Linked DNA regions of Caenorhabditis elegans. The protein of the gene in region 1 interacts with the protein of each later gene in a pairwise test. Each region holds a gene or a part of one and is shown on either strand. Other genes may lie near its edges.

Region 1 (17,780 bases):
TCCACAAGGTTGGTTACGCATTCTGAACTTATTTGTATTATACTACAAATGTCTAATCCCAAAAAAAAAAGTGCTAATCGTTTTTGACGACCTTACCAGTCATGTTGAACGAAAACAGGAGAATGAAGTGTCTTTGTGTGTGTGTGTATGTGTGTGACTCGATTTTGTTACCAGTTACTTGTTACGTGGTTACTTTTTACAAGTGACTAACAATAAAATAAAACCCCCCAAGGTTAACACCAATAAAAGTAATTGTTGAAACAATAGATTTTCTTTAGCGGAAAATCAGAAAAATGGGCAGTTTTCAGATGTTGGAAGCTTCAGCAAAATGGGCTCTCCGTGCATCTGGAGCAACGAGTTCATGGTTCCAGAGTCTAAAAAGGAGCACTTCTCAAACAATGAACTTTACCGTCATTATGCTGCAAAAGCAACTATCATTGCTTATGTTGTTGGTGAGTTGTTATATAAAGGAACGTATAGACCTGATTTGAAATTTTACAGTTTTAAATTATGGTGAGTCAAAAGTTCAAAAAATTAGCCTAATTTTCGCTAAAATCTTCAATTTTGATCTCTTTCGCAGCGGTTTGAGATTGACTTTTTTTCATCCTTTATTGCTGATTTTGATGTTTTATCTCACGCCATTTTGTTAATTAAAGCATTTCAAAGCCGATAGGTAACCAAAAATTAATGAACATTGTTACCTATTGTTACCCCTATGGGCTATAAATATACCTTAATCAACTTAATAATTGAGATAAATTACCGAAATATTTGATTTTTTTAAAAATGATAAAAGTAAATTTCCACAGCTATGACACAAAAAAGTGAGCACAGTTCGAGATTTTAGCGAAAATTAGCGTAACATTTTCAAAATTTCAATTGAAACCACCATTAAAAATTTTGAAAAAAACTTTGAAAAGTTACATTACAAAATTAGTTCATTTGAGCATATATTTTTTGATCGAGCCATTTCTCAAGACTTACTTACTTGTTCAACTAAAATTAAGTTTAAAAAATTGCTAGCAAGAAAAAATTTGTACAATATTTCTAAGCACTTTCCAACGGACTATTGTATGTATATTAACTTTTATTAGCAATAGATTAGACGCAATCCATACAAATACCTGTACAATAGAGTACTATAAGGTGTCACGATGCGAGTAAGCCAAATATTGACATTAATGCCCATTTTGATTTGTTCAGGTATTGTTTTCGTCGTGTTGAGCTTTATTGTCGGACTCATCGGATGCTGGAATAGATCGAAAAAATTCATTATGAGCACCGGAATTCTTCTGATCCTTGCTGGTAAAACAATTACTGATTTGAAACAAAAAACTGGATATGTTCAATTTTCAGGACTTTCAATGTCTGTGGCTATGCTTCTCTGGCACTACGTTGCTTACAGTGAGAGATACACATTAGATGTAGAGCCATACTACAAATCTTGGGAGCCGGTGAGTAATATAATAATTTAGTTTATCAAAAAAAACCTCTTATATACTTTTAAATACATATTTTTATTCAAGTCACACTTTCTACTTTCTTTAGTATCACTTTTTACCCCACAACACTTGAAATAATTTTCATTTCACTATTTCACTATTTCAACAACAAAAAAAACAAAATCGGTGAAAATTACGTAGGCATGCCATCCAAGATAAGCGTAGTCACTTGAGTTTGCCGATATTTGCAAAGCAGAATCGACTCTCTCCCTGTGTCATCATGTCGACACTTCTATCAAGTGTTGGAAGAAGAGTGAAAGTCCTGTGGAAACAATTGTCCGGCTACTTTAAATTTTGTTTCAATTTTGTTAGGGGTTGGTAAAAAAACAACAAATTAGCCATACATAAGTTCAAATGTTTAAAGTAAAATTAGGTACTTATTGGAAAAAAATTTGGAAAAAAACGATTTGCAAAATTTGCCAATTGTTAAACGTTTAAAAACATTTCAATTAAAAAATTAAAATTGGTAAAGATCTGAGATATTTGCAGCCTGAAAATCAGTAAGATAGAAAAATTATTGCAGAGTTATTTTTCAGTTTATAAAATTTTAAAAATTGTTTTTTTGCAACTGTAAAAATCGAAGTGATAAAATAATAAGCAGGACTAACGGTTCGAAAGATTTTCAACTTTTAGACCCTAAAAAATAAAAACGCTTAAAAAACTTTTTATGGCGGTTAAAAATTTTGAAAAAAATTAGGCCATTTTGTCGAAAATCTTAAATTTTACCAGCTTCTCCGTGCCACAGTTGTTGGAAAATAATTTTTATTGCTTTATCATTTTTTTTTGTTGCATAATTTAGTAGATCTTACATTATGTCGTTGATTGAAATGCATTTAAAGCCGCCTATCGGCTCTAAATGTACTTTAATTTTAAAAAATCCGACTACTAAAATGTGCAATAAAATATGATGATTCGAAAACAATCAACTTTATACCACTGCAACACAGAAAAGTTGCCAAAACTCGAAATTTTTAACCATGATTTTTTTTTAAAGTTCTTACAATTTTTGACACGGTTCATTACGATATCCGTTCATTTTTGCGCATTTGGGTCAGGAGTGTGCGGCAAATTTGGCAAATTTGCCAAGGACGGCAAACGGCAAGTTCGGCAAATTCGACAAATTTGCCGCACACCTCTAATTTGAGTATATTCGTTCAAAATACTCAGAACCGGTTTAACAACTTGGAGCTATCAAATAGACAACGCCAAACGTTTGGTATCAGAAATTATAATATTGTCTATGTAGGAAAAAAACCAAAACAAATTGATTTCATTTTCAGATTCTCAAATTGACGTCCCGTCATAACTACGGATGGTCTTACATTGTCTCTTGGATCGGAATCGGATTTATTGTCATCGGAAGTGCTTTCATGTTCTTCGCCTACGCTGCTGTAAAGGTTAGTAGTGGCAGATGTCACCCCTCCCCCCCCCCCTCGTCTAGTCTTATCTCGTTCGGATAAATATCTTTCGGTTTCTATGGAATTTTCGGATGGTGTACCACACAATATCAGGGTGTTGTCCTTGGATTGCGCGGAAGGGGGAGGAAGAGACCATCCGCTTATAACTGTTTGAGAAGAATTATTACGACTTTCCCCGAAAACAGACATGCTGGCAACCGTTTTGGCAATCATGCATGACTATGAAATGAGATTTTCTGACAATCCGTGTTCGGAAACTACATTCACAGAAATTTCTTTATAAGTATGGTGTACTTTGAACTTACTTTGACACCGCTCATTTTCTAGCTGAGAGACACAACAAAAATTGGAAGACTAGTTTTTGATGATAGTTAGAAAAAAAAATACCAGTCCACAACTTCCATAAAACTCGAATTATATAAATTTAGAAAAAAAAACTAGTGATCCCAAAATATGAAAAATCTATCAAAATCAGTATTGCAGTCACTTTTTCTATCGCGAATGTGTGAAGAAATTTGTATTTTAATTTTGAACTCAAATGATGGAGCAACGATTCGGGCTATTTTGAACCCAAAATGTGCAGTGTCACACACATTTTGACTTTTATAGCGGTTTTTGAGCAAATTTTTGAAACTTGTAATAAACAGTAAAGTTCATTTCAAAAATAAAAATATTTCTTCATAAATTTCTCAAAAAACTTTGACACATCGGTGACACTCAAAATGTGCTGAAAGGAACGAATTTTTGAAATGAAACTTCTCAAAAGTATTTCAACATTTTTTCTATTTCGGTTAAAAATTTTTGCTAAAAACTCCAGTTTTGGCCGCTTTTCCGTGTCGCATTGGTCGGAAGTTGACTTATCATAAAAATTCATTTTTAGTCACCTATTGACTTTAAATGTCTCTCAATCAACGAAATAACGTGTGATAAACTACCAAACTATGCGATAAAGGATGATAATTTAAAACAAAAGGTCAACTTCGGACCTCTGCAACACGGAAAAAATGGCCAAAATTTGAGATTTTAAGAAAATTTTTTTCAAATTTTTAACCCGCCATTTTGAGATGTTTCATTATGCAATTCATTTGAAAACATTTCCAATCAATACATTCTATTTTAAAAACTTTATATCACTTACCAAAAAAAACACTTTTTGTTTTTGTTGTTATTCTATCTATTGATCTATCATCAATTAGAATGGACAAAATAAAATAGTAAACGCTTCCCACCAGGCACTAGATATTGCTTAATTTGTTGAAAATTGGGTCATCTCCCATCGGAATAGGTCTTTGAAGATTGAGAACATTGTTTGACTATTTAGACGATTAACATCAGCTAACCTAATGAATTTATTATTTGATAGAGAGAAGAGGAGGACGCGCTGACAGCTAAACACGGTGCCTACATGATGCCAAACTACTATGACAAGGGGGCTGGAACTATTGTGCCATACAACTACAACACGTACGCTGGATATGGTGGCTACCCATATTACAATCAATACAACACTGCTGGCTATGGATACATGACTTATGGACGTTAAAGAGTGTTCTTCATATTGCAAAGAAGCCCTTTATTCTAAATTTTTATAGTACTCAATCAAGAAACGACGAGGTCCATCACGAATATTCTCACCAAATTCTATGTTTTTTTTGAATGTCAGAAGTTTTATTCTAGCCTTTTCTTGGAAAGTCTAGACTTCCAGTAATCCTCTTCCTCTTCCACTTGCCAACCAAAAATTGTTGCCGTTTTGTGTATGTGTGTATCGCATTTGTCACAGTTTCCCCATAATGTACCTAAACTACTTAATAATGTTTTTTTCTCAACTTTGTCATTCTGAGTTTAGTGTTTTCTTGTTCTGATTTTGTTGGCAATCCCCAATCCGTTTTATGTCCGTCTTCTCATTTTTGTACTGCCACTCCTTGTTTGAAATTATCGAGTTTGGATGGAAGACCCTTGGTGCTCCTTTTCCCACTTGTCTTATTCAAAATGCCATCTGCCCCCTTTTTTTGTTCAGTTCGTTCAGCAAGCACAATGAATTTAAAAGATAATCGATACTCGAATATGCCACACCTCAGTTCCCATTTAATCATTTCACTTTTTCATACTTTTAAATATGTGAAACACTTTTTTTCAGTTCATACCAAAGTATCTAAATAAATCAGTTTGATTGTAAGAAAATGATTCAATAATTTATTATTTATGACAACATGCGAACGTCCAATATATCATTAAAAAAGCAAAAAAAAGATTTTATTCAACGATTTTTATACTTTAATTTTGTTTGTATTACTCTTGTTAAAACATTTTGTGGTCGGAACATGCGGCATTGCTCTGAATTTCCTTCAAAGCAATTTTTTTAAATTTAGCATTTTATCAAAATTTTGACTGAAAACTTCCATAAATGTAAATTTTTTTGGAACATTTTATTATGATATTCGATTTTTATAAGTGTATTTAGACAAAACCCCTACCTGCGCTACTTCAACTTTAATAAATGTACGCTAAAATTATTCGATCAATTTGTTCTCAAATTTCCTGACCCAAGAAGTTTTCAATTTTTGCTTCGTCTCTCACAATTTTATTGGTGGACGGAAACAAATACTTATGGGTTGAAAAATGCGACATATTTTAAAATTTGTTTGAAAGTAATATTTAATTGTTTTGTGAAATTGACAATTTACCAAAACTATGACAAATATTGCTGAAGGTGGTGTAGCACCAGTGGGGAAATTGTTTCAAAATACATATGAAGCCAAAATGAACAAGTATCATGGTAATTTTTTGAATCTAATTTTTATATGATTTTAAATTGGAAAAATGTCTGTTTTTGCCACCTTTTTGGAAGTTGTCGATCAAATAAAAATTGTTTATTTGATTTTTATGCTGTGATTATTTTTGAATTAATATTTAAATATTGCAAGGATTAAAACATGCGACATAACTAAAGTTTTCTCAAAAAGTGGCAAAAACTCGGTCTTTTTTGCCAGTTTTTTATAGTCAATAAATTCTTTTTTCTCTTATGAAATTGTAAAATTACAGACGCTGAATATTTCAAAAATCAAGAGGGTGTTTTCTCCATTTACCTACCAATGATCAAACAATTTTCTTAGCTCACGAATGAAATAGTGCACAAAGTTTTTATTACATTCATTTGCCGAAAAAATTGAATACCATTGGATGTTATGAGTTTCGGAGTTTGAAATTATGCTCAAATTATACTATAGGTTTTACAGAAATCAGAAGGTAGCACAAAAACATTAACAGATGGAAGATGAGTGCAATCAGTGGTAGAAAAATGAATTAAATTAAATTTTGGTACCTATTGGTTTGTACCATTTGTTTTTGAGAATACTAAAACTATTACGTTTTAATTTATTTAAAAAAAATCATCTGCTAAAAACATTGTTAATTGCCGGATCAAAAAACAAAAAATTTTCGCATAAGAATTTTGATTGGTGAGCAGAAACTGAAAGCAACTCATTACCGGTTGTGAGTACCTACCAATCTGTCAGTAAGTTGCTTAACCTCCGCTTCCCATTATGTTTACCCTCTCGTTTGCGTTCACAATGTGTCGCAGTGTTTCTTGGCAAACTCTCGACTTCTTTCCGCTCACCGGTATTGGGGACGGTTGCAGAAGCATCAGCAGGCCCCCCCCGAGTCTTCAAGCCTTCATCGGAGGTACTGTTTGCTTTCAACTGGCACACACACACACACACACATCGCGTCTCGCAGCAGCATTCACTACAAACCTAGCCTGATTCCTAACCACCACTTAGCCTTTTCCCTGCCTCACCCAACTAGACTCGACACATTTGGCTCCCCTCATGTTAATGGCAAAAAGAACCGAGTGAGAATAATGGATCGAAATGTCAACTCGCCACGTGTACTTGCCGACCAACTACGGAGGTTTATTCAGAATCCGGATTCGACTCCTTCAGGTAAACATATATCCATGACAAGACGGGAGTGTATTCAAACTGAACACTTTTAAAAACCACCACCAAATAGGCACTTTTTTCAGGGAGCGGTATATCTTTATCAGATGCTGGATTTGTTTTGTTATCTTTAAAAGACCAAATTTTAGCGGACTCAATAAAGTAAGTAGTTTTGAATTTTTTGTTGGCGTTGATGTTCCAACATTTTCCAAGCGAACTTTCTTCACAAATTTGAAAAAAAGTTTGATTAAAATTTACAAAAATGACAGTGTTTTCTATTAGTATATTGGAGCGCAATGTTCAATTTTGACAGCTTATACCTAAGTTGTCGATTGTATCATTAAAATCAACTAGCAACTTACTAACAACTTATTTACAATGCAACAATGTCAACTAACAAAATATTTGTTAGAATTTTTGGTACATGTGTATTACATAGTTATAAAAAATTTAAGCGTGTACAGTGCATTTGATTTTTCACTTCTACGACTTTAAAGGAAGACGGATTTATGCGGAATGGTCTTGCCGCGCGTTTAGTCATCATTTTTAGCAGTTTCTGGGTAAAATTCGCGTAGATCACATGTATATCACAAAATATTTATCTCATATTTTGTATTTCTGTTGCTTTCAAATTAATTGTGCTTTCACGCGTGATCTACGCAAATTTTGAACAGAAACTGTTAAAAATGATGATTACGCGCGCAGCAAGACCATTCCGCATAAATGCGTGGAAAAACCAATGCACTGTAGCATATTTTTGAACTTTTGAGCTTAGGTAATAACCATTTTTAAGCCCAAAAAAATGAATATCACGTTAAATTTCAATGGAGAAAGGAATGAACATTAAGTAGAATTTTAAAATGAGGGCATGTAAAACACAAGTACCGGTTTTTTTTAAACATAGTTTGTAGTTTATCACTAATAGATATGTTTAAGACAAAGTGTGATATAACATTTTTCAATGCAAAAATTATTTTTAGAAACAGAAACAGTTTTTCAATTGTTTGTTCACATAATTTTAATTAATTTATAAGGTTTCTTTTACATTCATTAGCCGAAAAAATGCATTGTTTCAAAAACTAGCTAGTATTACAATTACTTCTTAAAAGAGAAAGGTTTTCCGTTGCTCTATTAGTATTTTTAAAAAATGCATTCCCTCAAGGAAAATTTATTTAAATTTTTTTGGCCATTTTTTCGTATCGTATTATCCATTTGGCGGTACCTCCCGCGCTCAACTTTGTGCACTCCCGTGGCCATTATTTAACTCCGACTGAGAAGTAAATACAACAGTGACCGGTTCTAAAACCTCCCACCCCCCCCCACGCACTGATAGCTAACTCCTCCGAACCACAATATTTGCTCCTGTCTGACGTATGCTTCCGACATGAATTTCAATTGTTTCCAGGGCTCAACATTTTTCGCATGAGTTTGTATCAAAGCCTATCAACGGGATTGAACTACTCGGAAAAGTGGTGATTGTTCTGCAGGGAATTGTGAACAGTGTTGAAGGATCTGGATCGAAAATTTCCTACCTGCTCAATAGAAATTCGACAAATGCCAATCGAAAAAGAAAGGCAGCTGTTGCTGAGGCCGATTGCATTGAAAGCATCAAACTGTTACTTGAGAAATCAGTGAGTGAAAATTTGTAAGATTCATGCCATTAACTATCACCTTGCATAGGAATCAACATGGAAGTCATTTCTCGAAACATCAACCGGATTGGATGCCATAATGTATTCTATTCATTCGCCTCAGCTGGACTCCAAATGTTACTCACTCGAGGTTGCCGTTTATCGTTGTGTTTGACAAATTAGAATATCGTTCTCTGCAGATTCTTCTTCTGCTACTAGAACAACCGCAAGGATTTGTGATTTTATTGAGGGCGCTGACTGTTTTGGCAGCAAGAAATCGGGACTATTTGAGGTTTTCCATATTTGTAGCACAACTCAAACATGGTCTTCATACAAAGAAACTTCACATTCAGGTCTAAAATAATACGGCGCATTTCGTAGATTTTCGCCATTTTCAGATCCTTGTGGCTAGACTTTTCAACAAGTTGATTGCAAGCGCACCAACTCCAGTGCACAGAGCACTTGTTAAATCGGAAGTGTCATTAGCCCAGTACAATCCAGAAGTTGTCGAAAAAGTAGGTTACCTATTGTTCGTATTCTGAACGCCAAATTGTTCCAGCTCATTGGATACCCGAATTCATCCTACGGCGGAATGGACACTTTGATCGATGAGTTGAACGCGTGGAAATCACTGAACCAATATGTTGGAGGGTCGGGACCCACCGTTGAGCATAACCACATTTATGGAACTTCTGAAGTGGACGGAAGCAGCATATCGGAAAGAAGTCGGAGGCATGCTCCAAGCTCCAAGATCATGGTAAATTTTCTGTTAGGTTTCATAGCATAATAAATTGCGATATGAGTTTTGTATTGTTCAAGATGTACAAAAAGATTTTAAATTTGTCTGCTTGCGTTGACAAAAAGTCATGTTGTATCTATCAAAATAGGTAAAATAATGAAAGGAAATTTTTAGCTTTCGCCGCGGTACGTTTGGTTATACGAAAAAGCCTAATAGAATAATTTAAACTACATACCCTTTTTCTTTTGAATCCCCAAGATAAAACGCTGTTGTACCCCGTTAATCTTGATGAAATTTTCAATTTTCTTAGAACCTCGGGTACTGCTCAAAAATAAATTCAAGCAGCTGATATGTTCAAAATATATGTTTTAAAAGTCCAACTTGTGTTATACAAATTCAGATTTTTTTTTACAAAAGTTCCAGCAAAGAAAAGGCATAATGAAAACTTCTCAAAAAAATTTTGAGATTTTTTATTTACTGTCAAATAGTGATAACTACTCAGTATTCTTTCAGTCATAATTTTGGAAGTCGACCAAAAAAATCTACGGTTTTTGCTCTTCATTTTTATTAAACTGCGTTAAAACAGAAAATTTGGCAGTTAAAAAAACTCTAAAAATTTTTGGATTGTTTTATCATGATATTCGATAGTTCTGGATCACTATAAGTGTATTTCGACAAAATTTCCACTGGCGCTATTCCACCTTTTGACCTATTAATAGTGATGAACCCTGAATGTGAATTCTTATTTTGTGGGCAAAAGTGCCGGAAGAAGGTAACTTATTTTATTTTATTTCAGCCAGTGACATCCGTCGTTAAAAACGTTGAACGTCAAAGATTCCGAAAGCAGGGTGCTGGCTCCGGTGGAAGAGCTGCCGGCAATTATTACTTTGAAGGAGGTGGCGGCCCACGCTTGACTTATGACCGAAGATCACAAACATTATCGCATGGTTCTTATGCTGGTAAGTGATTAAACATTGAAAATTCGAATTGATTTCTAAATTTTAATTTCAGAACCATCTTCTCCAATACCACCATCCAGAATGGGTTACGCCACCGAGAGAAGAGAGCCGTTCGGTGCGATGAGGCGAGCAAAAAGTGAAAGTGCAATGGTTTTCAGAGAAAAGTACGTAAAGTAGTATTGATAACAGCCGAGGTATACAAATTTTGTTTCCAGCAGGGAAGAGTATGAAAATGATTCTCCTGAAATGGCGCCACGCGGCTTGAAACGATTTGGCAATAACAGTCAAAAAGAGCAAGTCCATTATCACCCAATCCAACAAGTGAAAACCTTGTCTCGAAGCGTTCATGACTTGGCCATCCGCGACGATGATCCAGGAACACTACTTCGACCAGTTTCTGCACGACCACCATCATCAGCGTCTCGAACACCGTACAGAGCAGTGTCCCCAGTTCCAGTTTCACCAATTATAAAGCAAGATGCTGACATACCGTCTAGACGACTATCTAGTGCACTTTCTCCAAGAGCACGATTTGCGGATCCTCCGATTGTTGAGGCTCAGCATCCTCACGCAGGATTTTCATATTTGTTCCCACAACAGCCAGTTGTCAGTTCAGTGTACAACAAAAAAATGATGTCGCCGGAACCAAGAGAAGTGACTGTACGTTTTATTATTCAAAATTGCAAATGTTCCCAACTTTTCTTTATAGGTGAACTACTAAAATACGCCATAAAGGGCAAAAAAAGTGTATTCCAGCTACGGTGACAAAGAAAAATTAGCGAAATTTCAGATTTTAGGAAAATTGGGGTGTATGTTTTCGAAATTTTTTTTTGGAAATTTTTTGAGTAGTCTCATTATGAAATTCGGTCGTTTTGGTCCGGTATATTTAAGTTTGAAAATTTTCAGAGCTCCACATCAAATCGTCCTGTATCAGCGCCCCTGTACGCCACAGCAGGAAATCACGAAGGCTCCAGCCGGCCCCTCTCTCCTCTGGAAATTCAGAACTCAATGTCCGGAACTCATGATTTCGATATGCCAGTTGCATACAGTAATGAGAATGGACAAGTGGTGTATGTTCCGATTAATATTGAAAGTGGAGTCGGAGCCGGGCCACGGAGAGTGAGCAAAACGTCAAAGTAAGGAATATAAAAATTATTGTAATTTTGAACCACCAAAAAGTGACCGAAATTTAAGATTTTAGTTAAATTAGGCTTTTTTCGAAATTTTGAAACACCATAAAAATTCTTGAAAAATTTTTGAGATTCCCATTACGAAATTTGTTCTTTTGAGCACACGTGGGGTATAGAATTTTAAGTTCCCAGAACTGCCTTGAATGTGTAATTTTCACATTTAGGTTCGACTATACTCCAAATGAATCTCGCAGCAATAGTCGTGCAAAACTTCGGAGCCCAAGCATTAACGGTAAAATTAATACTTCATAGAGATTTTTTAATCATTATCATATAAACCTACCAAGTTTCAGGAGAAGATGTTCGTAATGCTCTGAGCCAGTTCGATTACTTGTATGACTATGAAGCCGACCAAAACCCAAAAAATCGCGAAGCCACTTATCATTTGTAATGAAACCGATTTGTCATAAATTTAACCACAGTGTATCCCGAAAATAATTTTAAATTTTAAATTTGCTCAAATATAGGCTTAAGACTTGTTCAAATTAAATACCTTTTTTTTGTATATTTAAAATAAAAATCTTGTTAACATATATATGAACCCTTTTTCTTTGTCTTTTTATTTTTCCTAATTTTATTTGCACGGTAAACCTCCAACAAATTGATTTGAAAGACATCAATGGGATAACCCTGAATCGATTGCGTGCAACCCAAAACAAGGCCATTGGAATTAGGAAACGCTCTCTCTCTCTCTCTCTCGCTCGTTTTCTTTCGCGCCGCCAACAATTTGCCTTGTTATCAAACAGTATCATGACCCCAACTTGATTAATTGGGGAAATATCATTTAGGATGCTTTTTATTATTTGACTATTTGTGGGATTTCGGAAAAAAAATAAGAAAAAAAAAGAATTGGCAGCGACAGTGAACTTGAGAATTTGAATGGAGAAATTGAGGAACACGGGTGTAAATAGAGTTGCAAAAATCAAAGAATTGAGCCTAGATACAGATTAAAATGAAGAATATCAAACATTGTCAAGGTTGAGCAAGATTTTCAGATGTTTCTGTAAATTGGCTGTGGTGGTGGTGCTTGTTCGTAGCTCCATGGTGGCCAAACAAATTTGAAGCAACAACATTGCACTCGATGGTGTTGCACCGGTCGAACCGGTCTCATATCCTGATGATATACCTGTGGCTGTTGAGTGATTGCACCACGTGAAGCTCCAAATGACGACTCGTGTCCTCCACCGTGTGACTCGTGATGAGATCGGTGATGGCTGCTTGATCGGTAGCCGCCACCTCCACTACTTACCACGCCTCCAGGTGGTCCACGATATGGCTGCACTGCTCCATACTCTTCTCTTTCGAAATCATCTCCGAATCCTCCTCGACCATATTCCAGGGCTCTGCGATCTCTCGTAGCTTGCTCCTTAAATCGGGAAGAATACGATTTTGGACTGTCACCCATTCTTCCATCAAATGATCTTCTAGGAACAAAGTCACGGTCTCTTCCGAGAGGCTCCCTTACTGGTTCCTGAATATCTCGATTATAAGGAATGTGTACATCTTGGCCTGCTTGTGGACGACGATCATCAAATCCATAAGGCTCGGCATCTCTGTGACGTGTTTGAGGGGACGAACGGAAGTCATACTGCGGATCACGACCAATGTCACGGCGAATAGGGATGACAACTCCACCATCATTAGGATATTCATTTCGATGAAACCCATCATCATGTCCTCGAAACTCTCTGGTGTCCAATGATTTACTTCTGAATATGAGAGAGCAATTACAATTTCAGTGAATCTTCTGAAAAAAAAAAGTTACCTGGATTTCAGATCAAGCCCTCGATTATCAAAATATGGTGCAGGTTGGGAAAAGCGATCTCCGTAGTCTTGGTCAACATTTGTTTGAGATCTGGATCTTAGTGGTGGGTATTCTCTGCCATATGCATGAACACGTGAATCAATGCCACCACGTGGAGTGATTTGTTGTGATCTCGAGTCACGGTAGTTCATGGTTCGATTCGAATAATCCGGGTTAGCCCCCGGCGAGAAACGACGATCGTAATTCATCGCCGGGAGTAGTGTTGACGATGAACCGACGTGTTTTTGTAGACAGCAAGTAGTGATGGATATATTGCGTTTTTCCCACAAAATAAGTCGGTCGTTCGGTTAGTAGAAAAGGCGATGCGGAATACGTGTATGCGTGCCGCCCAGAAACGCAAAGCGTCTACACCGAGAAAAAAAATGGGGTGGGGGAGTTTGGGCTGATTCACAAAAAGGCGACGGCGTCGGTTGGGCGAGTAGGAAACGGCGGAGAAAACGGGCGTGGCGCTTTCCTTGTTTCTCTTCGAGAACCATCGACGATAGCCACGCTAAAAATTTGTTTCTCGACACACGACGCCGCCTTGTGTTTCATCTAATTTCTGTCCTTCATTGAATATTAGCCAGTCCTCATGAAATTGTAATCAGCGGGGAGAATGTGAAGAGATAGAATGTTGGTTAACACCTATCAGTGACAAGTTGTTATTGATGACTGGCTATTAAAAGGAAGTAATCAGAGATCTGTCAATTGAGAAGCAAGTGTAGAGCGATTTATGGATTCAGTTTATTTAAATTTATGATACTCATGAGTTTCGTTCCCTCCAAAATGTTTTGGTTTTCTAAAATATAATTTTCCACCTTTAAAATAAAAACGTGAGCAAAAGTAAAGAACAAAGCATTAATTTCTACAAATCGTTCCAAAAAGTTCACGCTTTTGTGTTTAATTTGAAATTGGGAATATTAAAACATTTTTGGGGGAACAAAACCCATAAGTGCCAAATTTATTATTAAAGTTTAAACGTGGAGTCGAATCAGAAGGAAAATTGTTAAAAACTACTCCCATAGTGCAAAAATGTCCAGATATCATATAACACTAGTAACATAGTAAAATTTTGTTTTTAAAAAAATAGAAATTTTTTCAAAAATCATTTACTCAGTTTTGCCACTCATAACTTTGGAAGTCGACCAAAAAAAATTTTTTTTTTTAATTCATATATTTTAATTTTGTTTTAGTTCTTTCTGTAAAACATTCTAGGGATCCAAAAATGCGACATTGTTCTGAATATCCGTAAAAGCTCATGTCATTCCAAAATTTTAGTTTTTTTCCAAAACTTGGGCTGGAAATTTAAAATAATCTAAAATTTTTTGGAGCGTTTTATTGTAATGTTTTAATTATTTTGAATTCCTCAAAAATGGAGTAGCGCCATAGTAGGTGTACTTAAATCCAATCCCTACTAACACTACTCCATCTTTAAGAAAAACGCACTTTTTAGGCACCTGGCAATTGATTTTAAGGCGGTCTACGTCCTGTGGGGAAATTATTGGAAACTACTCATATTATGCTAAAACAACTGAATATAAATAATTCTTAAATTTTTCATAAAATTTTGGAAGCTTTTTTTTGTTTTAAGTGAAAAAGTGGTGCAACCCACTTTTCGACTAGTATTTTAAAAAATTCCAAATAAAAATTATCATGGTAATTAAAAAGAAACATTCAATTGTTTTTCATTTGTTTATGATTGCACATATTTGTTCTTTTGGTTTGTAAAAAATTGATGAAGCGGAAATGTTGATAAGAAGCTGTGATAATTTTCATTTAGAACGGAACCAATTCTTATCAACATCCCATCCGAACAGGTTTCTCCAATGAATGATTTTTTCCGCTGAGAACCGCTTGACCGGTTCAAAAATATTGTCTATATTAAAAATCTTTACGAAAATAACAGTTATGTACACAGTAAAAAGTACAGGATGCTGTAACATGATCCCCCAAAACTTCATGTCCTCACAGCAGTCCCCAATCGTAGTTTAAAGATCCGACTCGATCCGAAACCGTTTGCTTTTCGATAGCGCATGTGGACACGGGTCACTCGTACCGAACACTTTTTCGTTTTTCATCGCATGTCACGGCGAGAGCTGTCAAAACGGAGGAAGACACGATGAGACGACGCGAACGAGAAAAGGGAAGCATTTTTTGACAAGCTCTTTTCTCATCCTAGACAGTTTGCTAGATTAGGGCTCATACTCAACAGTCGATGCTAATAACAATGCGACTTGTTATTCCATTTGCTTTAATTCTAACGTCAGTGGGATTTGCTGACGGGTTTATATGGCTACCATTTGTAAGTCAATGTTTTCTTCCATTTTTGCAAAACTGTATAAATGAAATTAAGGCTAATCTGGGATCAATGTTTGAAACCTTGAAACAAACTGCGTTTCATGAAAAATTGGATTTCAACGAGCCAGACTCCCAGTATTCATTTTTGGAATTTGGTACTTCTAACTGACTTTTTTTGACGTTTTTTTAATCTCTCAGGTTCAGGAAAAGACTTGTTCAATAACATCGGTCAATACCTTTCATCGGCAATTGGGAATGAGGATAAGTTGACAATAGCCACGAATTTAAGAGAGCTTTTCAATCTAACAACATCAACTCCACTACCAAAAACGCCGAAAAGATTTCGCCCGAAAATAATACCAGTTGATAAGCCCGAGACAACAAGCAAGCCAACTCCAAGACCAATGCCCACTGTTTTCACATTTCCTTACACTACGCCACATTTTACTACAAGCACACCAGTCCCTGAAGTTACATCAACCTATGATCCCAGACCACGATTTAGATATACAACCACTACCGAACCGCAGATTATCAAATTCGTGAAGACAACAAAACCTACAACTACCACTGAAGACACTACCACAGAAGACGGTGAGAAACTGTTAGAGTGTGGGGGAATGAGTTCCAAAACTATTCTAGAATAAGTCTAAAAATTTAGTATTAAATCCTGTTGAGTTTGCACGCAGCGACACACTTTTTGGGGTTCTATCTATGGGGCTCTCTATTAATTCTTAACAGTTTTTACGTTTTGAATTTTAACGATCAACAGGATTTAGTACTAAATTTTCATATGCAAAAACTTCAGAAATTTCGGACAGAATTTTATTTCAGATTGAAATATCAGGTGTGCACAACAAAATAAAGTTATTGGATTTTTCCTAAACTTTCCTCCCTCCAATATTTCAAAACTTTCAGACATCATAAGATTTACAACAACGACTGAAAGAGTCAGATATGCTACATTTTCACCAAACATTCCCATGACCACCTCTACAACTCCAACAACTACAACTTCAACTTTTCCAACCTCAACAACTGAAAAATCTACGACAGCTCAACCTTCAACGACAACGAAACCAACTACAACATCTCCACCAACAACTCAAGTGAAGACTATCTTGCCAGCTACAGAAGCACAAAAAATTTTCACAAAGCCTCAATATCAAATCTGGCCTACCACAACCCGCCCAATGACAAGTACCTCGCAGGCTGTAATAAGGTGGGGTACATTATTCACGATAGGTAACTAGGTAACAATAGGTAATAGGTAACTAATGGAAAAGTTATACTTTTTGCACCTTTATATGGTAGTTATAGGAAACTGTAAGTTACCTACGTACATTTAATTGTGAGCATCCATATCCGAGCTGTTCTAATATACTTTACACTCAAAATTATAATTTTTTGTAAAAAAAAAAATTCCAATTTGATTGTGAATGCTATAAAGTTGTATGTTAAAATTATTTTTCACAAAACAATTAGGCTGGTATTACCTATTTAAAGCAACTAATTGTGTTCATAACTTAAATTGTCGAAAAAGGTGGATTTTGTCCACTGTTTGATTTTTCTGACATATTTTGTTTTCAAATTTATTAGTGTTTATTTTTATTTTTATTGGAACCAGACTATGCTGAAAAGCACGAAGGAGGCACGTAGGCAGACTAGAAGTTTCGGTTAGGTATTGTGGATAGGTTGATTAGACACGTAAGCGGACAAGCATGACGTAGGCACACAGGTAGGCAGGCAGAAACGTGGGCATGAAAGAGGTAGGTGCGTTAGTAGGCGTGAAACAACCATGTGATTTTGTGCGACTTACATAAGATTTGTCGGCACTTCCAAAATTCTTTCTCCAGCACAATATTATCAACTCCGTTTATCTGGAATTTTATAATGTGCCGCTTGTCGGTTTGCCGGAAAATTTGTTTTTTATTGAACGAATTCGACTGAAACAAAATACAAACGTGCATAAACACTAATTAATGTGGTTTGCAAACAAGAATAAAAAACGAACCAAAAATTAAACGATTGAAAAAATACTCTTTTTTGCCAATTTCAGGTAAGTACAGATTGAGTGGTAGAATCAAGCTAAAATTAATTTTTTGCAGAACCCAATTTTATCTGAAATAAAACTATATAACTAACAGATCAATCAAACGCCAATTGAAAAAATATCAAAAAACAAAAATTTCAGAAATTCTAATTTTTGAGTGCTTGGATATATGTGATATTGACTAAATATACATAACTTACAGTTTCCTATTTTTTATAAAAGTTTAAAAAAAAACAAAAAAAATTGAC
Region 2 (15,189 bases), on another chromosome or scaffold:
GTACCCTTACGATCCTTCTTATCTGAAGGATCAGAACATCAGAAGGTACCCATGTGATCCTTCGGAGCTGAAGGATCAGACCATCAGGAAGAGCCTCACGATATTCCAAGTTAGTTGGACGTTTTACAGCTTTTCCCAAAAGACCATCGTTCATACATTCAATTGTGAGGGAATTATAACCGATAATCGATTGAAAATTGCATTAAAAAACTTATTCCAGAAAAATGTGAACAAAAATTAGTTGAAAAATACATATAAAAATCTAGTGGAAAAAAAGGTTGTCACCAAAGATATGCCCCCCAAGATACACCCCAGTTTGTCTACTGGATCCTTTGTCTCCTTGGATACTATGCCCCCAAAGAACCTTTGCCACCCAAAAAGTTTGTCATCTCGGAATGAAGGCCTTCACCTTTTCCCTTCTTTCCCTTTTTCTTCTTATCCTTTGTGGAATCTTCAGAATCCCCTTCCTCAACACCTTCACTTGTCAATTTTCCCGATTTTGCTTTCTTCTTTCCACCACATTGAACGAGCAGCAATAGTATCGGCGAGCCAAACAACATCAAGAGATTCAACAAAATTTTGAGCATTTTTTCGGAGAATTGGTAAACTTTGACGATTTTTCCTCACAGAAAACCACTATCCAAGAAGAGATGAGCTTGCCCAAAAATCAAGCAATAAAATTGAAATCGAAATTTTTATGATGTAAATAAAAAAAAACGTAAGTGTAATTTTAGTTTTTTGTTTAATTCTGGGAAGGTCACGAGAATTTGAATTATTTTCAAACGATATGAATATTTCTATAAAATTGGCGAAGCTTCAGAACAAAACACAGCAAAATCATGGAGATATTTTTAATTTTTAATTTCCAGAAATTTTAACTTTTATGAATTTTAAATTTTTGAATCACGAGGTGTTCCAAATTGGCTTTCATTATGTATATTACCAGTAATTTGCACGCCCACTGATTTACTTTGACAGCTCGTTTCTCGGTTCTTTTTGGTTTTGTCAAAAAATGATAAACTAAAGAATGTAGATAAATATTTTACAAGTATTGTGTCAGTTGAACATTTTTTGATAAAGCACAATAGAGCCGAGATACAAACTGCCAAAGTAGATCAATGTGGGGCAAAAAATTCAGAATTTTTAATTAAAAGCCCCTTTGTTCTCCCGTCCAGCGTCGTTAAATGTTCAAATATAGTTGGCACGGTGCCAAGACAAATAGAGCACTTTTGCTGTGAGGATGCAGAAATTGACATTTGCAAGTGAGAATATTTAATGTTGGTGTCTATTTGTTTGGGGGCATTCGTTAGTTTTTTATCGTCCTATACATATAGAATGGGAAATGGGCTATTAATTGTGAAAATTAAAGTAACAATTAAAACTTTTATTTGTATTGATAAATTGTACTGTATTTTGTTAGAAATTACTACAGTAACCCAAAGTTACAAAAAACTATAGCCTAGAATTTTCTAAACTCGGAAAACTTTTCCAATGGCAGCAATAGCTTGAGCACTACCTTATTTTCATGGTTTCCCCAGAATTTCAAGCAAATTTTTGAGAACTCGTAAAACTTCATGATCCAAGTTTTTAAACAATAATACATATTTCTCGTACTTTCTATACGACTACATATACATAAATCATAAAAAAACACACATTTCTAGCTCTAAATTATAGTTCCAATCAGTTTCAGCACACGAAACTTTTATACAAATTCAGAGAATTCTGGCGCCGACCCAAATGATTCGCGTTAATCGCATCAGAACCATACAACTTTTGCCACCGTCTCGCGTTGCAAACCGGAATTCGTCATCATTGAGGGTGTTTGAGAATTGAAAAAAAGTGTTTTTGTGTTTGTAACTTGAAACACCACTACTTTGTGTTCAATGGACTGGAAAACTGCTTTAAATTTGGATTTGGTGAATGAGGAGAGCGGGGGACCTATATTTCATATAAAAGGAGAACGTGGCCGTCAAGCGCGGAAAGCTCTTCCATCTTGGTACTGATCGACTAAATGGGTCAGTGTCCCCGTCTAAACTGAACCATTTTCAGAAAATTTCAAAAAAAAAGAATTGTAGTCGAAAAACGAAGGCTGCTACGGTAAGATTTTATAGGCAGGCAGGAATGAGGTAGGTGTAGTGCCTATGGCTGTATTCTCAACTGTTTTCGAGACATTTTTATTATTAACAGTTAATTTACAAAAATATGTTATCCCGTGGTGCTCTGGCTATTTAAATAAAGAATTCCAACAAATAAAAACTAAACAGGGAAAATTCAATTATTTCGAGTTAACGTAAAAGAACTTACTAAAGCTTAGAATGCCTACATGCCTGCCTCTTGCCTACACTTGTACCTACATACCTTCGTAGGCAGCTTAGACACACAGGCATGAAATTGACAAAGACTACAGTATCGCCTCAGTAATCTACAATTTTAAATACACATTTCTAAAAAAAATTGGATGCGCTAACTTCCAGGTAAGGACAAACATGGATAACTGTCTGCTTTTGAGTTTCGCCTACTGTGCTTGTCTTGTGCCTAAATCATTTGTGCACATATCAGATCTGCAACTATAAGGTAGGTAGGCATCAAGGTCGACCTGCCTACCATGAGAGCACGACCAAATAGACTGAGAACCTATTTTGACGTTTCCAGCTTTCGAAAATTATTTTTTGGAAAATTAGAACTCTCAGAAACTCGATTTTTTTTTTGAAAGTTGTGGAAAGGATGGAACTTTAGGAAAAGTTCTCAAATGCTTTGGAGAACATTTCGAAACTAAAAGTAAAATGTGATCAGAAAAAAAGCGGGTTTCTCTGTAATTAGCCATAAAACATCCTCCGATCGGTTGGCTATCAAATCGGCATCCTCAACATCAACTGGAATCGTTAACCGATAATATCACATTATCGGTTACATTGCTGTATATATACATTGTTGAAGGGATTTGGCATCGAATTGAAAAATTAGAAAAAAAATTCAAGTTGGAAGTCTGAATAGAGATTTTTCCTCTTTCAAAACTATTTTCAATCTAAAAAACCCTGAAATATTTGCAAATCTGCTTATTATATTGCGAAAATTTGCGATTTTAATGTAAAAAGACGGGTCTCGAAGCGACCGGGTTTTAAAGGGTACTGTTGTTGGAAATTTTTTGTTGCTGCCATATTTTAATTGACTATCTCAATTTGTCCCCCGTTTCTTGAAAATTTATCGAAAAAATGTGAAAATGCATAAAACATATACATAAAAATTTGAAGAACCTGGAGAAAAACTATGAAAAATCGATGAAAATTTGGCGAAAATTAGGAATTGGAAACTACAGTACTCTTTAAAGGCGCACACTTATTTGCAATAATTAAAAATCGGTCGCTTCGAGACCGAGTACAGTATTTTCGTGCAAAATATCAATATTTCATCTCTGTAATATGAATTTAACCAAAAAAAAATGCACTCTATTTTTATTCCCTAAAATTCCGATTCGAAAAAAGTTGAAGCTTTAGTTCTCCTGCCCCAGAACGCAATTAAAAAAAAAAAACTTTAAAACTTTTATTGCGGTTTTTGAAAAACCCGATAAGTGAATGATAAAATAAAATACATAAAAATCCGAATAATAATAATGTAAAAATGAAATTCTAGACAAATTAGAATATTCAGTACTTCTTCTTGAACATTTGTTTTCTCTTCAACTTTCGCTTCTGCTCTGCGGTAACTTTTCCGCGAACGAATTGCTTCTTTCTCAGATTGATTTTCTGGAAGTTTTGATCGCTTTTTGATGAACCGCCGAGTTTTCTGGCTGCTGGATTGTAGGAACGTGCTTTGGCAACATCTTCGTTTCTGAAAAAAAATTATAGATTGATTTGCATGAAATGTGTCAAAAAAATGCTTAAAATAGCCTGGAATCTGCAAATTTCCGAAAATTAAAGCTCGAAATTTCAATGAAAATCTAAAACTCACGTCTCATCATCGAATTCTTCAACCGGACCTTCAACTTCTTGACCCTTTTCCGGCGTTGGTAAGAGAAGCATTTTGAGATCCTGAAATAGGAAAATGGAAATTTTAAATTAGTATTTAAATAAAACAAACCCTCAATGGTCTCTGGTAAGCGCGTTTTGTTGGAGATTTGATCGGTGTTAGCGTAGATTTAACGGCAGATTTTGATGTGCTCGCGGAGTATGACTTCACAGGGGAAAAGTCGTCGAATTCGAACGGAACTGATCCCACTGGCTTCTGAAATTTAGTTTATTTTATTATTATAAAGATTATTAAAGTTTCAAACCTTTTTAGGCGACACCATGCTCTTTTCCGGCAAAACTTCGATCGCAATCATTTTCTGCAATTTTATTTTAAATTTCAGCAGTTTTTAATGCGATATCAACCTTTCTGGGTGAAGATCTCAGTGGAATTGGATTTTTATCATTTTCCGAGCCGAGCTGATTAAGATTAACTCGTTTTTTGATAGGGCTGAATTGCTCGCCTTCCATCATTTTCATTTCGAAATTCTTCCGCTTCACTCCACGTTTCGCTTGCTTCTCTTCGATTTTCTCGTCATTCTCCTTCTTTTCAGATTGAAGTATAGCTGAAATAATAATTTAATGTAAATACGTTTTTTTTTCCATTAATTACCTTTAATATGATTCGGAGCTACAGAAATATCTCCTGCCGTTGGTGATCTTCCATAAATCTCTCGGAAAGACGTTTTCCACTCTTCCATTACGTTCGGGCTGAAAATAATTTAAAAATTTAATTTGAAATCGAAAAGATTCGGCAGAAAACATGTGAAAACAAAGAAAATAAGAAAATAAATAGAGAAAATGAGAGCAAAAACCAAAAAACCAGGAGCTGTTTTCAAAACTCGCGCCAAAAATGTGTGGCAAGTGCGCTCCACCGCACACTTTTCCAGCGCTTGCTTTGAATCGCAGCTCTGTTTTATATATTTTTTCCACGTTTTATCTGAAAATTTCCAGATTTGTAGCCTTTTTTCTGTATTTTCTTGCTTTTAAACTGATATTTTGATGAAATTTTCTGAATAGGATAATATGAATAGAGAATATGAACTGTCAATTAGGAAACGCGTGCTTATTCCATATTAGGAATAAAATTTTAAATAATTCTACTTGGTTTTTAATTAAATTCAACTCCTTATTGTAAAGTTTGTAAACATTTGACTAATTTGAAGCTGTATTCCTTGAATTGTACTAAATAATTTGTTATTTAACATTAACATCATCTTCCTCTATCAAATATTTAGCCGAATGACATTTTCATTGAATTCAACTTTCTCTCCACTCCAAAACCTTGGCTCCATGAAATTGTCGAACTAATCGAAGAATTGCTGAAAAGGGATATGTCTCTGTTTCCATACTTCTTCTCCATCTCCCTTGCTTTTCTATTTCATTTCTCTTGCGGGTCCCTAATGATGGCAGGAGAGCCCCGTCCGCTGCCTTCAGTATATTCCAGGCTTTTCGCTCTAGAAAAAACAATCGAGAAGCGCGTCTTCTTCCTCTTCCCAGTTCTTGTTGCCTGCCATTCGTCCCTCCATTTTTCACATCGTCGTCTGCGTACCATATTGTGCACACATTCCCCTTCTCACTTTTTTTTTGCGTTGTCTCCGTCTCTTTGTGTCGTTCAACGTGTCTCTCTCTCTCTCTGCCCTCACAAAACCGGCTGACACGACACGGTCAGAGAAGAAGAGTCTGGCCACTGCTGCTGCGCCCGTCGCCCCTCTCTACGCTCCTTCTTCTCCACCACCCACTTCTCCATTCGCTTCCATAAGTCGGATGACGTGATACTGACTTCTTCTCCTTCGTTCACCATTCTCCACGGCGTCGACGTCCCTTTTCGGAGATGGACACGTTCGAGCTCGACTCGGACGCCTTCTACATTTGCACAGAAGTGTCACCGCGAAACTTTGTCGTTCAGAAGGTTTGTGTCATCTAATTTGCATTCGGGCGTGCCTCTGTGTAACGAAACACTCCTTTAAAGATTTGTATGTAACTAGAAAAATAAAATGGCTACTTTAAAAGTTAACAAACCCCATTTTAGTAGGGGTTTTTTATCGAAAAGTGTCAGCTACTTCTACGTCTACTTTCACTTAGTCTTCGCACCTATACCATAAAAACCGGATCTCGTTTCACTTTTCTTTAAGTCGTATATCGTGCGCTCCATAATATTTCACGGAGAGTTCAAATATTGCTTGAAATAATTTTTAGAAATACTCCGTGCTTTCCTTGAGTAAAGATAATTTTTTTTCTCAATTTTAAAATAATTCTGAAATATTTTGGAAGAATCATCTCAAAAGTTCATTTTCTGCATCTGCAAAAAGTATATTTCGCTTAAAAACGTATGACGCAAAGCCCCCGTTTGAATAACAGTTTCCAAAGTACTTTTTAAGTATTCTGGCAGCTGAATTGCACCTGCCTGGATATATTTCTCGTAGAGTTTTCCCGTGTGTTGTCTACTTCTTGCCCCATTCTGCCATTGAATTCTGCCACTGAATTCTGAAAATAGACGTATATATTTATTATCAAATCTTTATGATGTTTAATTAATAGGCACCAACTTTTTTTTCCTTTCTGACTCTGACGTAATTTAGACAAATGTATAATAGAGGAAAAAATGTGATTACTCCAAAACAATTCTTCCCGTGACGTCACGAAGGTTCACACAACGGCATATTTGTCGCTTCTGATCGATTGTGTTTCCAGAACTGGTCCTTCTTGGGTCAAAGACATAAAAAAATGTATGTGTATGTACGCGCACACCTTTAACCTCTTCTGTCATCACATCTCAATTTATGCGTGTCTCAGGCTAGCTACCCCGCAGCCTACTATGTTTTCTCCTTTGTGTCTCCAACGGCAGTATCGCATTGACAGCACCCACAAAAAATTTATGAATTTTTCTCTTATTTTGAATTGTACAGCGTCGAATTTTTAGTTTTCGGGAATTTCTAGAAATTGACTTTACTCCAAGTTTAAATTTTAAAAATTAAAAAAAAAGTTCTAGGTCAAAGTTTGTTTAAAGCTTTTCCCGTCCCCTATTGAGAAATCATTATTTTCTTCCACGAAACAGTCTCTTCCGCCACCCCGAAATTCGTCATTTCCGTGATTTTTTGCACACACGAATTTTGCCATTTTCTCACCTCTGATAAGCCACATTTTTCGCGTCCCTCCCAGAAAATCAATTGCACACTCTTATCATTAGCAACAGCCTTTGAGTTGCAGGGTTTTTAATGATTTAACGATATTATTAGTGCTTGATCAAGTCCGGAAAATATTATTCTAATTTTTGCAAAAACTTTTGAGTAAATATTACTAATTGTTCGCATAGTGGGCGTAGGACAAGCTAATTTTCAAAATTATGGGGGAAAACGATGCCAAAAAAATTAATGCATTCAAAGTAAAGATACGGATTATGATTATAGGCAATCCAAATCGACAAGTCACAAATTGAAAGAATGGTGGGAAAGTTCGATGGAAAGGTGGCAGTGGAGAAGACATCTTCACCAGGCTCCTCTGTGGGAACATCTAACGCCCACTCACCAGGCACGTCACCGTCGACATCAGCGTCGGGTGCCAGCGGTATTCCCCAACCACCTCCACTTCCTTATTGGTAAGCGAACGTCGCTACTGTTGCTGCTGCTGCTGCTTTTTTAAAAATCGCTTTTGTCGACTATCATTTCTTTTCTGTTGCATCATGATCTTATTTCATGTTCGTCCCAACAAAAAAAAAACTGTTCTGCTGCTTGTTCCTGATGATGCGTGCGTAGCTGCCACCCTTCTCTCTGGACTCTCTCGGATCTGTGTACACTCTCATAACGTCCGTATCGACTGATGAATCATCTCCATTGCTGGCTCTCGCTCTCTGTGCGATCGCGAACGCATCTCCTTTCTCGGCACACCATCATTCACAGTTCGTCCCCCTGTCCTCTGTCCAAAAGTGGTTTTCATCGCCCCTCACTCGCGCTTACTTCCCCCCCCCCCGCTTGTTCGTCGCCGCGCCCGTTCATCCGCCTTACACTCATCTTTCCAAAGTGACCAGATCACACAGCCGTCGTCGTACAACATGATCGCTATAATTTGTGTTACTTCCTCATTCCAGCGGTTTGTTTCGTTTTTTTGATGCGATCCCCGATGGGAAAATGGAGAATTATGTCGATAAAGCCTAGTTTTTACAACAAAAATTCAAAAAAATTCTGCTGATTAAACTAGTTTTCGCCTTTCAAAAAAAACGTATTTTTTAAATAAGGAAAGCAAATTCCCAGAATCTCGAATTGTCTCAGTATGAAAAGCATTCCGAAGACTGCGTGACACCGCTCTGACTCCGCGGGACATCGTCTTCTCTTATCCATTCCGAAACATCCCACGCATCACTCCTGTTTCTGTACATCTGAAACCCAAACAAATGACACCATTCATCCGTTCATTCGTACGCCTCGTATTTTCAATCCCGAGACGAAAAAGAAGAAGAATAAGAAAAGTAGAGAGAGATGGAGAGAAACATAATCAAAAACAGCATGTCAGTTCTTTATTTCTCTCACTTTTCTTAGCTTCTTCTCTTCATCCCATCCGAATGCACTAATTAGGATTCAAAAAGATATACAAGAAGCTTTTAAAATCGATTCACTCTTCTGATTTCGCCGTTTCGTTGTATTCGTTGTCTTCTCTTCTTTTCCACCACGTCTATAATTTCTTCTATTTCCAGGTTCAATCGTGAGTGTAAATCATCACTCATGATGATCGGCCCCCAGCCGCCGGGACCTTCTTCGGGGATGTCGATGCCCTCATCATCATCAACGAATCAGTTTGTGCCAGCAGTTCCACCACCACCACCGTTGAGTCGTGAAGAGATTAAGCAGCTGTTGAAGAATCAACTGGAGTACTACTTTTCCAGGTTAGTGCCGGTGCCGATTTTATTTAATAAATATTCGAAATTTCACTAGTTTCATAGTGAAACAGGCTGAAAATAAGCTCAATTGATCGAGTTTTTATGGCATATCAAAATTTCGAAGAAAAAAAACCAAAACTCACGAAAATCTGAATTATCACCAAATTTCCTTTGTCGCAGCAGGTGCAATATAATTTTCATTGAATTATCATCCTTTTTACTCACATTCGACTTAAAATGTGCTTAAAATCAACGAATAACCGCAAGAAAAACTATAAAAACGTGTAAAAGGTGATAATTTAATAAAAACTATGTTCCAGCAGTCGCTGTGACAAGGAAAAGTTGGCGAAATTTCAGATTTTTTGCCCTTGGTTCTCTCAAAATGTTGCCCACCATAAAAATTCTTTTTTTGTTGTTTTAAAAATTATATTATTTTACAACAAAAACCGCTCAGTTGATCTTAGACCAAAGGACAAGTGAACATGCCGGCTGTCAATCCGGAGAAAAACACATGTTTTAGTGGTTTTTGAAGGCAGAAAATAAATTATATAAAACATGAGAAATGGAGATTAAACAACTGATTTTTTTTTGTTTCGTTTCAGAGAGAATCTGAGCTCGGACCGATATTTGAAATGCCAAATGGATTCGGACAACTATGTGCCGATCAATGTCCTTGCTGGCTTCCCGAAAATAATGCGGCTGACTACGGATGTCGATTTGATTGTGGAAGCGCTGAAAGGTATGTGAGATTATATGATCCAGCAAGAAGTGCTTCAATTTCATTTTCTATGTTTTGCAGAATCAACAAATGTGGAATTAGACGAAAAGTTTGAGAAGGTCAGAGCTATCACCAAGCGGAAAGTAATGCTAATCCGAGAAATCCCGGAAACGCATCGAGAAGTGAGTCAGCTGTACGAGGAATTCAAAATATGAACGGTTCTTTTTTTCAGGAAGTAGTCAAATTAATAGCAGATGGACCACCGTACACTGATCTACAGTATGGAGTTAATGATGGTTGGTACGTGACCTACGAGAATGAGTTGGACGCTCAAGTTGCCTATGTTGCCGTGCAACACCGTAAAAATGAAATAACACAGAAGCAAGTTTGTGTAAGTTTAATAACTTCGAGTAGCGTGAATGGGGATTTTGCTTCAAAAAATCCAAAATTGTCTTAAATTCAGAAACAACATGGAAAAAACACCGAAAAATCGCGAAAGAAAGAAAAATCCAACTTGAATAACGATTTTTTAATTTTTTTTCCAATCATAATTTAAAATTCCAAAATGATTTTTTAATTTTTTAAAAGCGAAATCCCCACTCATGCTGCTATGTATACTTTTGAATTTTATTTCTAAAAACGAGCAAAAAATTTTAAGGCACGTATAAAAACTTGCGGTCCTTCGACATTTGCTCCCCCACCAGAAGAGACGCCACATTCAGAGAATGGACAAATGACGACACTGGGCAACGGCGAGCAGGGCACAGTACATCTTCGAGAGTTGGGGCAAACGCTTTCTGATTATGGGTTTGTACCTGTGGCCACTTACCGACCTGGAGACCCGATTTCGAGCCACTTCGAGTACATCACACCGACGTTCCGCTTCTCTGGAAACAGCTTGTCATACAATCCTCCGATGCCTCCTGTGCCTCCTCTACCACCACAGCATCATCAGCAACATCAGCAGCAGCAGCAGCAACAACAACCACCTCTGCTTCAAAATACTCCACAACCATATTACTACGGATCAAGTGTCTCGACGACGCCACGGAACTATGATGAAATGTCGACTGCCTCGTCAAACTCCACTCACACCACAACATCGAATTATAATAATCGCAATGGAAGCAGGAATGGTGGAAATCAATATTATGAGTCACGTAGCAGCTTCTCGAATTCAAATGAATGGCGTTCTCGTGGTGGTGGTAATGGTGGAAGATTCCAGAATAATTATAGTGAAAATAACGGACGGCAAAGTAATGGGAGTAATGGCCGATGGCGTGGAAACAATCGAAATGGAGCAACGACGAATGGTTATGGTTATCAGCAACATAACAATCGACAGAATCATTATCAAAATGGTCAACAACGTGAAAACGGAGAAAATGGACATCATAATCATTATCAGAATGGGCAATCTTCCAATTCTTGGTGGTCGGGAAATGATGGGCAAACCCGTCAACGTAAACAACAGCACAATGGCTATAATAATCGTCCAACTGTATCATCATCTTCCTCATCGAGTACGAGCTCCAAATACTTTTCTCCGGATGCTGTCGAAACTCCGACTAACTCTGGATCAAGTACACCTCCACAAACATCGGTTCGCAATCCGAAATATCATGTTCCTACACCAACGGATCTTCCACCGCCTCCAGTATGGCCTGCACCAAACTTTGACCGGAGAAGAAAAAGTTCGGAAACATCATTCACAACGAACACGACAACTAATACATTGACACCATCGACTCCAGTCACTCCACCCGTGTTGCGACCGGCATTTTCTGAATCTAAAGCTCCGCAAGAACCATCAAAACCAGTGGAAACGAAGGAAAATAATAAGCCAGCTCTAACTGACGATTTTCCATTGCCAGAACCTTTGCCGCAAAAACCGAAAATTGAGACGAATCATCATTCGGCTGTGGAGAAGGATGCGGAGAAAATCAAAGTGGTAAGTGTTGAAAAGAAAAATTAATTCAAAAATTCCACAAATTAAATTCATTATTTTCAGCGCTCCCCGCCCGTCGTTGTAGCTTCTTCTCCAGCACCTGCTGCTCCATCACCATTTTCCTTTGAAGAAACTGCTTTCCCTTCACTTCCAAAGAAGGTGGAACCTGTGAAGCCGCCACAAAAACCGACGTTCAGGTAGATGATGACGACGTTGTCATTTCTATCCGACAATCGTTATTATCGTTGTCATGTGATTTGTGTTGTGATTGGTATTGTGCCATAAAAAAGGTGTGTATTGAATTGAAAAAAAATATTGAAAATAGTCTGAAATTCATAAAATATTGCTGAAATCAAACGATCGATACGTGAATTTTGCAAAAAAAAACACTGAAAAAGAGGCGGAGGGTATTTTCGCAACTTCGCGGCACGGTTTTTTCTCCTTTTTTTCGCTCGTTTTCTATTGCTTTTTTGTTGATATTTTTCAATAAAGTGCCGATTTTACTTGTTTTAATCTTCTTTTTTGAATGAAAATCTTATTTAATCCAATTCTCGTAAGACTGTGAGGATATTTCATGCTAAAATAGCTGTAAAAACATGAAATATCTTCACAATTTTATCAGAATTAAATTGGATACCATTTTCATTCAAAAAAGGGGAATAAAACAAAAAAATCTGAACTTTATTGAGTAAAATCAACAAAAAATCAATTGAAAACGAGCGAAAAGTCAGAGGAAAAACTGTGCCACGGGGTTGCGAAATTACGCCCCTCCTCTTTTTCTGCGCGACGTCGTTTTCTTTGCAAAATTCACGGTTCGATAATTTAATTTCAACAATATTCTGTGAATTTCAGCCTATTTTGAGTATTTTAATGCAAAAGCTCTGAAATTCTAATTTCTTATTGTTCCTTGAAATTCTAATTTTCAGTTCCGTAGCTGCTGGTCGGCTGAAAAAGATCAAACAACTCGTTCCGGAGAAAAAGACGTCGTACGCTGAAAAGGCACAACAATATCAGAACAATCACAAAAAATGAATTAATTAATCAAATTTTTTATCATTCCACACACACACACCTAAATAGGCCTTCGTGTATCCTTCTAGTCTGCTTTTCCACATTCTTTTCCCCTAGTTTTATGAACCTATTCAAAAACTGCCCCAAACATAATTAACATTTCTCTTTTCTTGACTATCAATCAATCAACACAAAAACCAACCAACTCTCTTCCCATCGACGTGTGATCCAATCCATCCCCGTTTCTGTAGTTATTTTCCATATCGAACACCTCATTGTCTGTCCTATCTCTTGATCCGTGTAGTATTTCAACTTTTCTGTTCTCGGTCATTTTCCCAGCAACACACAAAAAAATCAAATCATCACCAATTTTCACAGCCTCCGAAACTGCTTTACTCGTAGATTGTTTGTTTTTTCCGTCCCCCCATTTTTCACTTGTTTCCTGTTTAATATATATTTTCCCCTTTCGATTATTGCGTTGCCAAACCGAACGTGCTTTACCGCATTTCAATTGTATTTTTTTCCGTTTTTCAAAAACCCCCCTAATCATTCCCCCACCACCACAAAAACCATTTCTCGGGACTCCCGCATTTTTACAATTTCTGGTATCTGGGACCTTTTTGGAGAGTATTATAAATATTTAATTGGGATCTCTAATAATTCTGTTTCACTTGTTTTAGTCATTGAGCTGGTTTATTCGATGAATTCAAATTCGTTGTCAGAAATGGGAAACAATAAAAAATTTTGACAAAGTAGGTAGATAAATATAAATGTACAACATTGCTCAGAAGACGTAGAGGATGAGGATGCAGATGAGATTGATGAAGATTGGAGCCAGGATGTGAAGGTTGATGTGTTCAGTAGAGACTGAAAATGTATGAAATTTATGCATGAATACAATATTCGAATCTTACCATTCTTATAATAAGTGCTTCCGGTCCCGAAAATCATTTGCGAAATAAATTTGAAGAACATGCACAGCCAATTGAAGATTGCACTGAAAATCGAGACGATGACACTTCCAATGGTGTATTTTTTGGATTCCTCCTTTTGAAGTGTCTCGTCAATAATCGGAAGATCAGTGTCTTGTGGAATCTGAACCATTTCTGGAATCTTGAGATGCTCCTTCAAATCGACAAATTCTTGAAGACAGTGTGCTATGTCGATCTTCTCATTGTCATCTTCAAGTCGCTTGACAGTCTGTTCCACGGTATCTTTCAGCTTTCCACCATCTCTTTTCAAAGCTTCCAGAATTTTTATGATCTGAAAATTTTATTTATTTTAATTTGATAATTGAAAAATTTTGTTATATCATACATTCTTCATCTCCCTCTCGAAAGTCTTGAAAATTTGAGTGAGACTCTCCGTATTTTTGGCTCTTGTCATGAATTCCGCTATCTTGGCAACCTCGCATTCCTTCTTCTTGACAAGAATCGGCAACGATGACAGAATGGTCATTGCGTCGGAGAAGTCCTTGTGAACGCGAGTCTTCAGGACATCCGCACTTTTTGTGTTCATTCTGAGCTGGTAGTTGAGCTGAAATATGGGTTTTTTTAAATGAAAATAAGTACAATAGATTATTTGTTTCGCTTACTCTGATCGGAAGATATTCAATGACAGTGTGGTGAGTAGTGTTGTGATCTTTCAGAACACAGGTCGAGCAGATTGTGAATGCGTCCGGATGGATTGAAGGCTGAAAATTATTATGTGAATGGCTGTTTTCAATAACTGAAAACTACCTCCTGATCGATAAAGGTATGAATATCGTATTCGTGATGTTGAATCGTACATTCACGGCAAATGTGGAAAGAAGTCTCCGATCCACTCATTTTACACGAAGAGCAAGTCATACAACGAAGATCTTTTGGAACAATTGCATCTGAATATTTCAATTTTTCATCCGTTTAATTGAGAGAACGCGGCTCTGGTGTTTGTCGATTTACGATGTACTTGTCAGGATTTATTTGTATGAATGATTTTACAGCGTCGGCTTAAATTCATGATTTTTGGTGGTTTTCCTTGATTCTTTCTGGTTTTTTACTAATCTTTTTATACAAAAACGAGTGGCCACAAATGAGAACCTTCGGAATATGAGAATTTGCATCTGAAAATGGGAAATATTCTCAGATAGAAGAAAACAAAAATTACCGAATTCTTCCATACAAATCGAACACGTTGGCTTCATATTAAACTTCACATCTCGAATAATATCTACATTTTGATAGAATGAAGCTGGCACCAAAGACATGGTTTATTTCGGATTTTGCCTAAAAAAGATTGTTAACTCAATAGAATTAAAAGAAAAATGATTGATACATTGGGAGTCGAGAGAATGTTCTGCGTTTATTCATATTTTATGACTCATATCTGTCAATATTGCATTAGTCAAATAATTGTCTTATGATTTTGTGTAACATTCATTAAATGAAACTCTTCTAATAAAGTCAATAGTTCATTACAATAAAAAAAGTTCAGATATATTTACTGAAAGAACGGGAGAAAAATGATAAAACTATAACTAAAACATTGAAATTAACATAAACTTATTCACTGTAACTTCAGGCTTATAAAAATTGGCGAATGAATCGCAGGGGCCTAACAAAACAAATACCAGGAATAAAAATCGTCATAG

What was found.
Region 2: the proteins of F53B3.3 (region 1) and larp-5 interact in a two-hybrid assay, tested with the Caenorhabditis elegans proteins (one large-scale study listed by BioGRID).

The regions. Positions count from the first base shown.
Region 1 is NC_003284.9:2,860,060-2,877,839, reverse strand, and holds F53B3.3 (CLASP_N domain-containing protein), read left to right. Parts: upstream 1-6,702; 5' UTR 6,703-6,779; coding exon 6,780-6,861; intron 6,862-6,944; coding exon 6,945-7,020; intron 7,021-8,094; exon of another isoform or gene 8,095-8,263; coding exon 8,264-8,489; intron 8,490-8,538; coding exon 8,539-8,640; intron 8,641-8,689; coding exon 8,690-8,842; intron 8,843-8,887; coding exon 8,888-9,004; intron 9,005-9,048; coding exon 9,049-9,246; intron 9,247-10,024; coding exon 10,025-10,187; intron 10,188-10,239; coding exon 10,240-10,351; intron 10,352-10,402; coding exon 10,403-10,847; intron 10,848-11,093; coding exon 11,094-11,323; intron 11,324-11,541; coding exon 11,542-11,609; intron 11,610-11,670; coding exon 11,671-11,768; 3' UTR 11,769-11,926; downstream 11,927-17,780. Other genes in the region: F53B3.5 (Conserved plasma membrane protein), read left to right, coding at 1-8, 309-452, 1,204-1,305, 1,357-1,454, 2,783-2,899, 4,284-4,463; F53B3.6 (RNA-binding protein 6), read right to left, coding at 12,369-13,086, 13,143-13,390; comt-1 (Catechol-O-MethylTransferase family), read left to right, coding at 15,409-15,483, 15,535-15,634, 15,684-16,073, 16,398-16,701.
Region 2 is NC_003279.8:3,730,987-3,746,175, reverse strand, and holds larp-5 (HTH La-type RNA-binding domain-containing protein), read left to right. Parts: upstream 1-5,690; 5' UTR 5,691-5,841; coding exon 5,842-5,919; intron 5,920-7,417; coding exon 7,418-7,605; intron 7,606-8,697; coding exon 8,698-8,886; intron 8,887-9,482; coding exon 9,483-9,619; intron 9,620-9,679; coding exon 9,680-9,780; intron 9,781-9,830; coding exon 9,831-9,989; intron 9,990-10,256; coding exon 10,257-11,549; intron 11,550-11,609; coding exon 11,610-11,747; 3' UTR 11,748-11,836; intron 11,837-12,472; coding exon of another isoform or gene 12,473-12,578; 3' UTR 12,579-13,316; downstream 13,317-15,189. Other genes in the region: math-46 (MATH (meprin-associated Traf homology) domain containing), read right to left, coding at 365-587; sld-2 (Ribosome biogenesis protein NOP53), read right to left, coding at 3,648-3,831, 3,952-4,031, 4,081-4,224, 4,274-4,327, 4,374-4,573, 4,621-4,708; T12F5.2 (RING-type domain-containing protein), read right to left, coding at 13,342-13,424, 13,472-13,820, 13,875-14,093, 14,152-14,250, 14,297-14,436, 14,706-14,805.